Sus scrofa: one gene and its partner. The protein of the gene in region 2 purifies or fractionates together with the protein of the main gene of each other region. This does not show direct contact. Links are inferred from orthologs where the notes say so. Each region holds a gene or a part of one and is shown on either strand. Other genes may lie near its edges. The genes, in order: CFLAR and tumor necrosis factor receptor superfamily member 10B-like.

Region 1 (3,812 bases), on a different chromosome or scaffold from region 2:
TGAGCTGGAGGGCCGCTCCAACAGGGACACATCGGCTTTGCACAGGCTCCAGAAGAAGTCAGCTTCTCGGTGAACTGTGCAGGTCCCTGGCTGCCTAGCCTTGGAATCCATACTTTTCACTGATGGCCCGTCCACCTCCAGGAAGCTGCTGTCCTCCAGCTGGCCCTCTGATGTCACATAGATCTGAATAAAAAAGAGCTTTGGCTTCCCTAAGAGAGTAGGGCATACATCTGCCATGAACATCCTTCGGATATGATCCAAAGGGAACCCGGAGAGAGTCTTATCCACGCCAAACACGCTCTGGGAGCCCCCTCGGCTCACAAGGACACACACGAAACTGTCGTAGTCTTGGTGTTGGGGCATACGGGCAACTTTGCGAAGAATCTTGCTTATTTGCTCCACTTTCAGATACAAGAAATACTGTACTTCATAGCCCAGGGAACTGAAGGTGTCCCGAAGAACATCTGGAAAAAACAAACAAACGTGAAAAACAACATAGGGGCAAGAAAAGCTCCAGAAACACTGGGCGGCAATCCTAAACATGGTCTAATCTCTGCTACTTGTCTGTTTCCGATTTTGTGTCCTATTTTGAGGCACCGAAGTCCCTGAGAATGGGGCAGCCTGAAGCATGAGGTAAGTGACAGGTCCTCAGTTAGGGTCTGTCCTTCGTTCCATGGCTTTTCCTTCCCAAGGGCACTGCCACATCTGGGCATGGGCATAGACTGAGCCCACCTCTAGTCTAAATGAATCAAGAGAGAAAAAAAAAAAAAAAAGACTTTTTCCTCTTCAACCAAAACAAAGCTGGGATTGTGCAAAAAGTTCTTTCTTAAAATCACTCACAAGCTCATAGGAATGGGTGCATTTGCAGAGTGCAGGTCCAAACCCAGATCCAATGGCTGCAGAGAGGAGAGGCCCAGGTCATGAGTTCTCTCACCTCCACCTGCTATGGGCTGATCCAGAGGTGCCTGGATTTAAGTTGGAACCATCCCCAAACCCCTCAGCTCTTCTCATGAACCACTTCCCAGTGTAGCTTTTGACAGAACTGGGGCGGGGGGAGGGTGGCATGGCCAAGACATGACCTAAAGTGCCCCCAAAGATTTTTCTCCTATCTTCCGGGAATTCAGGTTAATTTTGCCTCGAGAAGCAGTGTAAGGGAGTGGAAAAAGCAGACAAGCCTGCCTCCTAGCACTGACCTCACCACACCTATGGGCTGCATGGCTTTAAGGAAGTAGGTCTCACTAGTTTGGGGTTTTTTTTTTTTTTGCTTTTTTTAGGGCTGCACCCACAGCATATGGAGGTTCCCAGGCTAGGGGTCCAATTGGAGCTACAGCCGCCCACCTACACCACAGCCACAGCAACTCGGGATCCAAGCCACGTCTGCGACCTATACCATAGCTCACAGCAACACCGGATCCTTAAACCACTGAGCAAAGCCAGGGATTGAACCCACAACCTCATGGTTCCTAGCTAGATTCATTTCTGCTGCACCAGGATGGGAACTCCTCTCCATAGCTTTAAGTGGAAGTGAAGATAGCCACCCTATGAGGATGCTGTGAGTATTAAATTAGTGTAATACAATACATCTCCTGGTGCTCAATAAGAAAGAGTCCCTGCTGCTCTTTAAAAAATTCTTTTTGTCCATCTTCTAGAAGTTTCTACGGTCCTGAGACGAAAGAAACCCCACCCAAACTACTTAGTTCCCATCTGCTCAGGTTGCCCTCATTGGAGAAGTAAACACAGAAATATTTCATCTTTCTAGTAGCAAAGAGAGACATCTTTCTCTTCCTCATTCAAAAAGTCCACATCCTTTTGAGCTCCCCAATAAGTTTCTATTCCTTGTCTGAGGGATGCCTCCAGTTCTCAATTCATTTTCAAGGCAGAAAAGCTGTTCTGGCCTAAGCCCAGAGGTAAAACAAGAATCTTCCCATTCAGGTTGTCACCCAAACAATTAGCCACTTCTCTGGATTTGTTTCCATGTGTCATGACTACGTACCCACTTCTCTTCCTCCCCTGAGGTATGGTCGTCCAGGAGTCTACCACTGCACTCACCCCAAACCCAACAACACAACAGTGTCCAGAGCAGAGATAACTTCCACCAAGGAACAGAGGGGCCCCACCTCATACCAGTTTGGGCGTCATACAAAGGGGTCAGGGGGAGATAAATAACTGAAGGTTATGACACATCACCCTTCACTACCGATTCTCAATTCTCCACACCAAATAAGAACAATATGAAGTATGGAGAGTCACAAATAATTCAGGATAATAACTTCAACCAATAGTTTCAACGTCTTGTCTTGCCAACTTTATCAGCGAGTATTACACTATAAAAGTGAAAGTAAGCAAATGTTATTTCTCTTCTGGCTTCTCAGCAGGAAACAGGAAAAAGATTAAAAGTTGGGAAAGAAACACAGCCTTGGGTTAACAACAAACTGGGAACTAAGCAGCCACTGGACAAACAAGAGCTGGCTCGAGTGCTCTTAATTCAATTTGGCCAGCCTATGGGCAGTATCTGGACACAATCACATACAGTCTCGTAGAACTTTCTACTCAGGAGGCTCACATCCTGCCAGATATGGCAGATTTAAATAAGTCTGTGACTCCTCGACCCTCCTTGCTTAAAAAGATAGTGTGTAATCCCCTCCCCTTGAACACAGGTAACTCGTTCCTAATGAATGGAGTGTGGCAGAAGGGCTACCACGTGACATTCAAAGTCAAATCACTAGGGGGAAGCCAGCTGCCATGTCTTGAGAACACTCCAGACAGGGCCCTGGTGCCAAACAGGTCCCCAGTGCCATGTGAAGAGGCCCACATGGAGAAGAACGCAAGCCACACACCAACTTCCCAGCCACTCGAGAAGCTCCTCCAATGCCAAGGACCCAAGCTGACATATGACAGCAACCTCTCAAGAGACTCAGGGCTGGGACAGCCTGGCTCCGTCACTTCTAAATTCCAGACCCCCAGAAGCTATGAGAGGTATAAATAAATTAGTATCGTTGTTTTAAGCTATAACATTTTGGAGCAATTTGTACACATTATGAGATAAATAATTCACTAGGTAAGTCAGCAAAAGGGAATGATAATAACCATTACCTAAGAATGGAGTGTAATTAAGCAACTTACTTTTCTCCTTCCGCCTGACCCGCAAGTAAGGTAGGGGTGAAGAAAATGAATTAAATTCATTTTTTGAAATATATATATATCAAGTAATAATAAGATACAAGCCCCCAAGAGATATAAAGAAGTTGCCAATCTCCTTAAAACCTTACAATAACTAAGTATGTTCAAGGAATGACAGTTGCTGAAAACCTATTAAGTACCTCACTTGTCAGCATAGGAGCTCAGAGTGCTAGGAGAGGTGAAGAAGCACTGCCCCCTAGGCACGGCCTCTGAGGGTGTAGGTAAGGCTTGAGATCCAGTTCTGAGCTGGGGATGACACACAGGGCTGTACCATGTACCAGGTACCAGGACAGAGCCTGGACAGGACTCAGGGGCCATCCCCACTGCTTTATTCCAAACGCTCCCTTCCGGAGTGGCACTCTCTAGTCATGGAGCACTCTCTCCTCCAGGGGGCAGAAGCGAACCGAGAAACATCAGGCTCAAAGCTCTTTTGTTTACTTAATTTCAGACTGGCTCCCTGGATCAAAACCTTCTTTTCACTGATAAGAGTGCCTCCCTTATCAAAGTCTTTGAAAGAAAGCCATAGTCTCCCTTTCCATCCTGACATGCAGAGGTCTGGAGGCAACACAGGCTGTCTTGTGCCTTAATCTCTTTTCTTTATCTGGGTTCTGGCTAGAGCAGCAGCTGGGCTG
Region 2 (3,812 bases):
AAATCGCTTCAAAATAAATTTAAAAAATAAATACGTCTGTATTTTCTCTGTGAGTTCAAAATGTTCTTTCTTTTCTGATTTTAGCAGTAATTTGCTCAATGAAAACAGACATTTTCATGATTCCTATAACCCTGTTTGGCCCTTTTTTTTTTTTTTTTTTAAACATGCAAGAAACTTCGAAAAGCACCTCAAGGAGTTCCCACCGTGGCAAAGCGGGATCCCCTGCGTCTTGGGACTCGGGTTCGCGGGATCCTTCCCGGACACAGTGGCTTGAAGATCCCGCGTTACTGCAACTGCGGCGTGGTTTGCAGTTGCGCCTGGGATCTGATCCCAGGCCCGGGAACCCCATACGCCACGGGGAGGCCAAAAAAAAGAAAAAAAAAAGAAAAGAAAAAAAAGAAAGTAAGAAAGAAGAAAGACAGGAAGGAAGAAAGGAAGTAAGGAAGGAAGGAAGGAAGGAAGAAAGAAAGGAAGGAAGGAAGGAAGGAAGGAAGGAAGAAAGAAAGAAAAAGAAAAGAAAAAGAAAAAAAAAAAAAAAAAGCCACAACCTGAGAAAATGGAAGTGTGCAGATTTCTTCCCATAGTAAGTATCTTGAGGATGAACACCAACAGTGATAAATCCTACACGGAGCCTCCAAACCACCTCCTAGAGGAAGTGGTGAGCATCTGGTCCGGGTCGTGAGACGATTTATGGTTTCTACACAGCACTCATACATTGCCGCAAGCAGCAAGTAACTTTAAAGATCGTTTCCAACTTGGACGATCCTTGCAGGGTAAAGGATATTACGACGGAGCGTAAGGCCACGGTGGGGGAGGGGCCAGGGACCGCCCTAGTTCATCTATTTAAAAAGGGCACGTTTTAGAATTTAAACCCAGAGAGAGCAAGATTGAGAGAGAACGAGTGAGGAGGATCCGAGAGAGGGAAGGGGAAACGAAAGGAAGTGCGATCTGTCACTCACTAGTGCCCCGCCCCGCCCCCCCTCCGGCCGGCGAACCAGCGCGACTTCGCGAGCGGAGACTCACCGACAGCACCAACACCACGACGATGGGAGCCCTGAGGTCCTGGCGCGAAGGCTGGGGGCTGGCGGCGCGCCCTGCCGGAGCGCCCGAGGCGGTGGGTGCGCTCGGTCCCCAGTTCCTCGTTCGATCGCGATGCGGGCAGACGGCCGGTAGAGCCATCGGGAGTCCACAGCGTCTTTCCTGCAGCGCCGGATCGTACTTGCTGCCTCCTGGGTGCGCGGGCAGGACGTTATGGTCTAATCACACAGCCTGCCCTTACTTTTATACGCCGAGATTGCGCCATTTGCGCGGGCGCGTGAGCCGGCGCTAGCGGTGCGGTTAACATGAACCACCTCTAGGAGTCCCCGTCGTGGCGCAGTGGTTAACGAATCCGACGAGGAACCAGGAGGTTGCGGGTTCGGTCCCTGCCCTTGATCGCTGGGGTAACGATCCCGCGTTGCCGTGAGCTGCGGTGTAGGTCTCAGACGCGGCTCGGATCCCGCGTGGCTGTGCCTCTGGCGTAGGCTGGAGGCTACAGCTCCGATTCAACCCCTAGCCTGGGAACCTCCATAGGCCGTGGAAGCAGACAAACAAACAAACAACATTAACCACCTCTAACTAGTCACATCAGGAGAGGGGCCCGGAGTCCCTCAGAGCGACCCTGCAGCCCAAAGCGGAAATTACTGGCTCTGGCGGCCAAAGCCCTGGGGACGTGCTTTCATTAAAAGGCAGTCTGCACCTTTGGGAAGTGGGCACAGGGCTGAGGTGACATTCCAAATCTGCTTTCCGGGGGCGCGTCCTGACCCTGCCCCTTTCCAGCGCAAATGCCCCACTAGCTCATAACTCTCCTGTCTTCTGAGGGCCGCCTTCTGCCCACTCTCATCTCCATAGCCACGCCCCCAACCAGCTCATAAGTCTCCTGTCTTCTGAGGGCCGCCTTCTGCCCACTCTCATCTCCATAGCCACGCCCCCAACCAGATCTTTTGATTTTTTTTTTTTTCTTTTCTTTTCTTTTCTTTTCTTAAATTGTAGACCAGAATGCCAACATGTCCACTGGAGGGCTCTGGGTTCTAACTGCCCCTAAGCCAGTGAATCCCTTTGTGACTTAAGGAAAGCTTTTTTTTTTTTTTTTTTTTTTTGGAATTAAAAAAATTTAAAACATTTACCCACTGCCCCTTGACCCCTGTGGCTTGAGGCAGGTCTTCTAGTAAGAGTCAGACTAGGGGACAGGGAGTCAATGTGGTCCGATGGAGGGGAGCTGCCAGAGAGAATCCAAGGCAGGTTGGATGGACTGATGCCTCAGGCTGGTGGAGGTCTCCGGGAACCCCAGCCTCACCACCTACCCTGGCATTGAGAACCAAGAGGAAGCGAGAAACCTTCTCATCAGCCAAGAGAAATCCTCCCCAGTCCGGGGCTAAAGCCCAGTCAGGGCGCTGTCTCTGAGCCTGTTCACTCGCAGGTGACATACAGTTCTGTTTTCTTTTCTTTTTGCTTTTGGCCCCTCTTCATCCATTCCTCCAACTCCCTTCCCCCCTACTTCTGGCAGGCATGACTCTGTTCTCCATATCTGTGAGCTTGATTTTTTTTTTTTTAAGTTTTCACCTATGAGAGGGATTATATTTATTGTCTTTCTCTGCCTGACTTAGTTCACCAGCATAATGCCCTCGAGGCCTCCCCATGTCGTCAGTGAAATGGCAGGATTTCCCTCTTTTTATGGCGAAATGATGTTCCATGGTCTGTGTGATATATATAGGCGATATATGACATATCATATGCATTGTATTTATTGTTACATATGATATATATAGTGATTATACATATATAATACATGTATGATATACCTCACAATTGCTTTATCCGTTCACCCATCGATGGGCTTTACACGACAGTCACGTACCACCTGGCTGCTCTCGGACCTCATCTGTGAAGGAAGGTACTGTGCTTTCAGAAGCCCAGTTGGATGTGGAACTCTCCCATTTTGAGGAAGGACACAGAGAGGAAACCGCAGGCGTGAAACTACCAGAGCGAACCACAGGGGAGGACAGCAGTGGTTGTGGCCTCTGTTCCTTCTTCTCCCGGGGCAGGTGTAACTGAGTTGGGTGACCTCGTGTGCCACCCAGGTACCGCTTCGGGGCGTATTTTCATGGACAGATTCCTCCCGGTCCTCAGCTACAGTCAAGAGCCCACTAGCCCAACGTTAGAAAGAGATTTCTCACAGGAACCTTGGCGTATTATCTGATGGCTGCAGTAATGGGCCATTTATATTTCTACAACGGCGTTCCCCCACTGCCCCTACCCCTGGCCCTCGTGGGGCTGCCATGCGGTGAGCATCGGAGGAGCCTCTGTAGGTGCTGGGGGTGTCCTCCTGCGCGCTGTTGCCTAGCTGGAGGATGCTTATCTTCCAGCGTATGATCCTGCGTATGATGAGAGTGCCCCTCACCTCACCCCCTGGCGCTGCAAGTGACATGGGCGGTATGTGGAGAGAGACGAGATCTGACTGGAGGTATGGTGGAGGGCGGGTGTAACTGAGAGAAAGAGAGTGGCATCCTGCCCCTCTGCCACAGAATGTGACCCAGTCAGGGAGTGACATCCTATCCCCTTAGTGTGTTCTTGGTGTGAAGCAGGTCAGAGATTCTGCCCACACCCAGGGGTGGGATGACACAGGGCCCGGCTCATGGGCAGTCATCTCAGGATGTGTTTACCTCATGGATCCTTTTAAAATCAGAAGAAAATGTAAGGCAAAAGTCACGCGGTAACGGACCATTAGAACATGTGCAAGAATGGGAGGGGCTCCAAACTGGAAAGTACGAGTG

Evidence for each region.
Region 1: the proteins of tumor necrosis factor receptor superfamily member 10B-like (region 2) and CFLAR purify together in Homo sapiens (affinity purification with western blotting; 5 studies listed by BioGRID and IntAct, with this or other methods). This does not show direct contact. The link is inferred for Sus scrofa from reciprocal best matches to the Homo sapiens genes TNFRSF10A and CFLAR.

The regions. Positions count from the first base shown.
Region 1 is NC_010457.5:104,823,504-104,827,315, reverse strand, and holds part of CFLAR (CASP8 and FADD-like apoptosis regulator), read right to left. Parts: intron 465-3,812; coding exon 1-464. UniProt on the Homo sapiens protein: Apoptosis regulator protein which may function as a crucial link between cell survival and cell death pathways in mammalian cells. Acts as an inhibitor of TNFRSF6 mediated apoptosis.
Region 2 is NC_010456.5:7,357,436-7,361,247, forward strand, and holds part of tumor necrosis factor receptor superfamily member 10B-like, read right to left. Parts: intron 1,230-3,812; coding exon 1,024-1,229; intron 1-1,023. UniProt on the Homo sapiens protein: Receptor for the cytotoxic ligand TNFSF10/TRAIL. The adapter molecule FADD recruits caspase-8 to the activated receptor.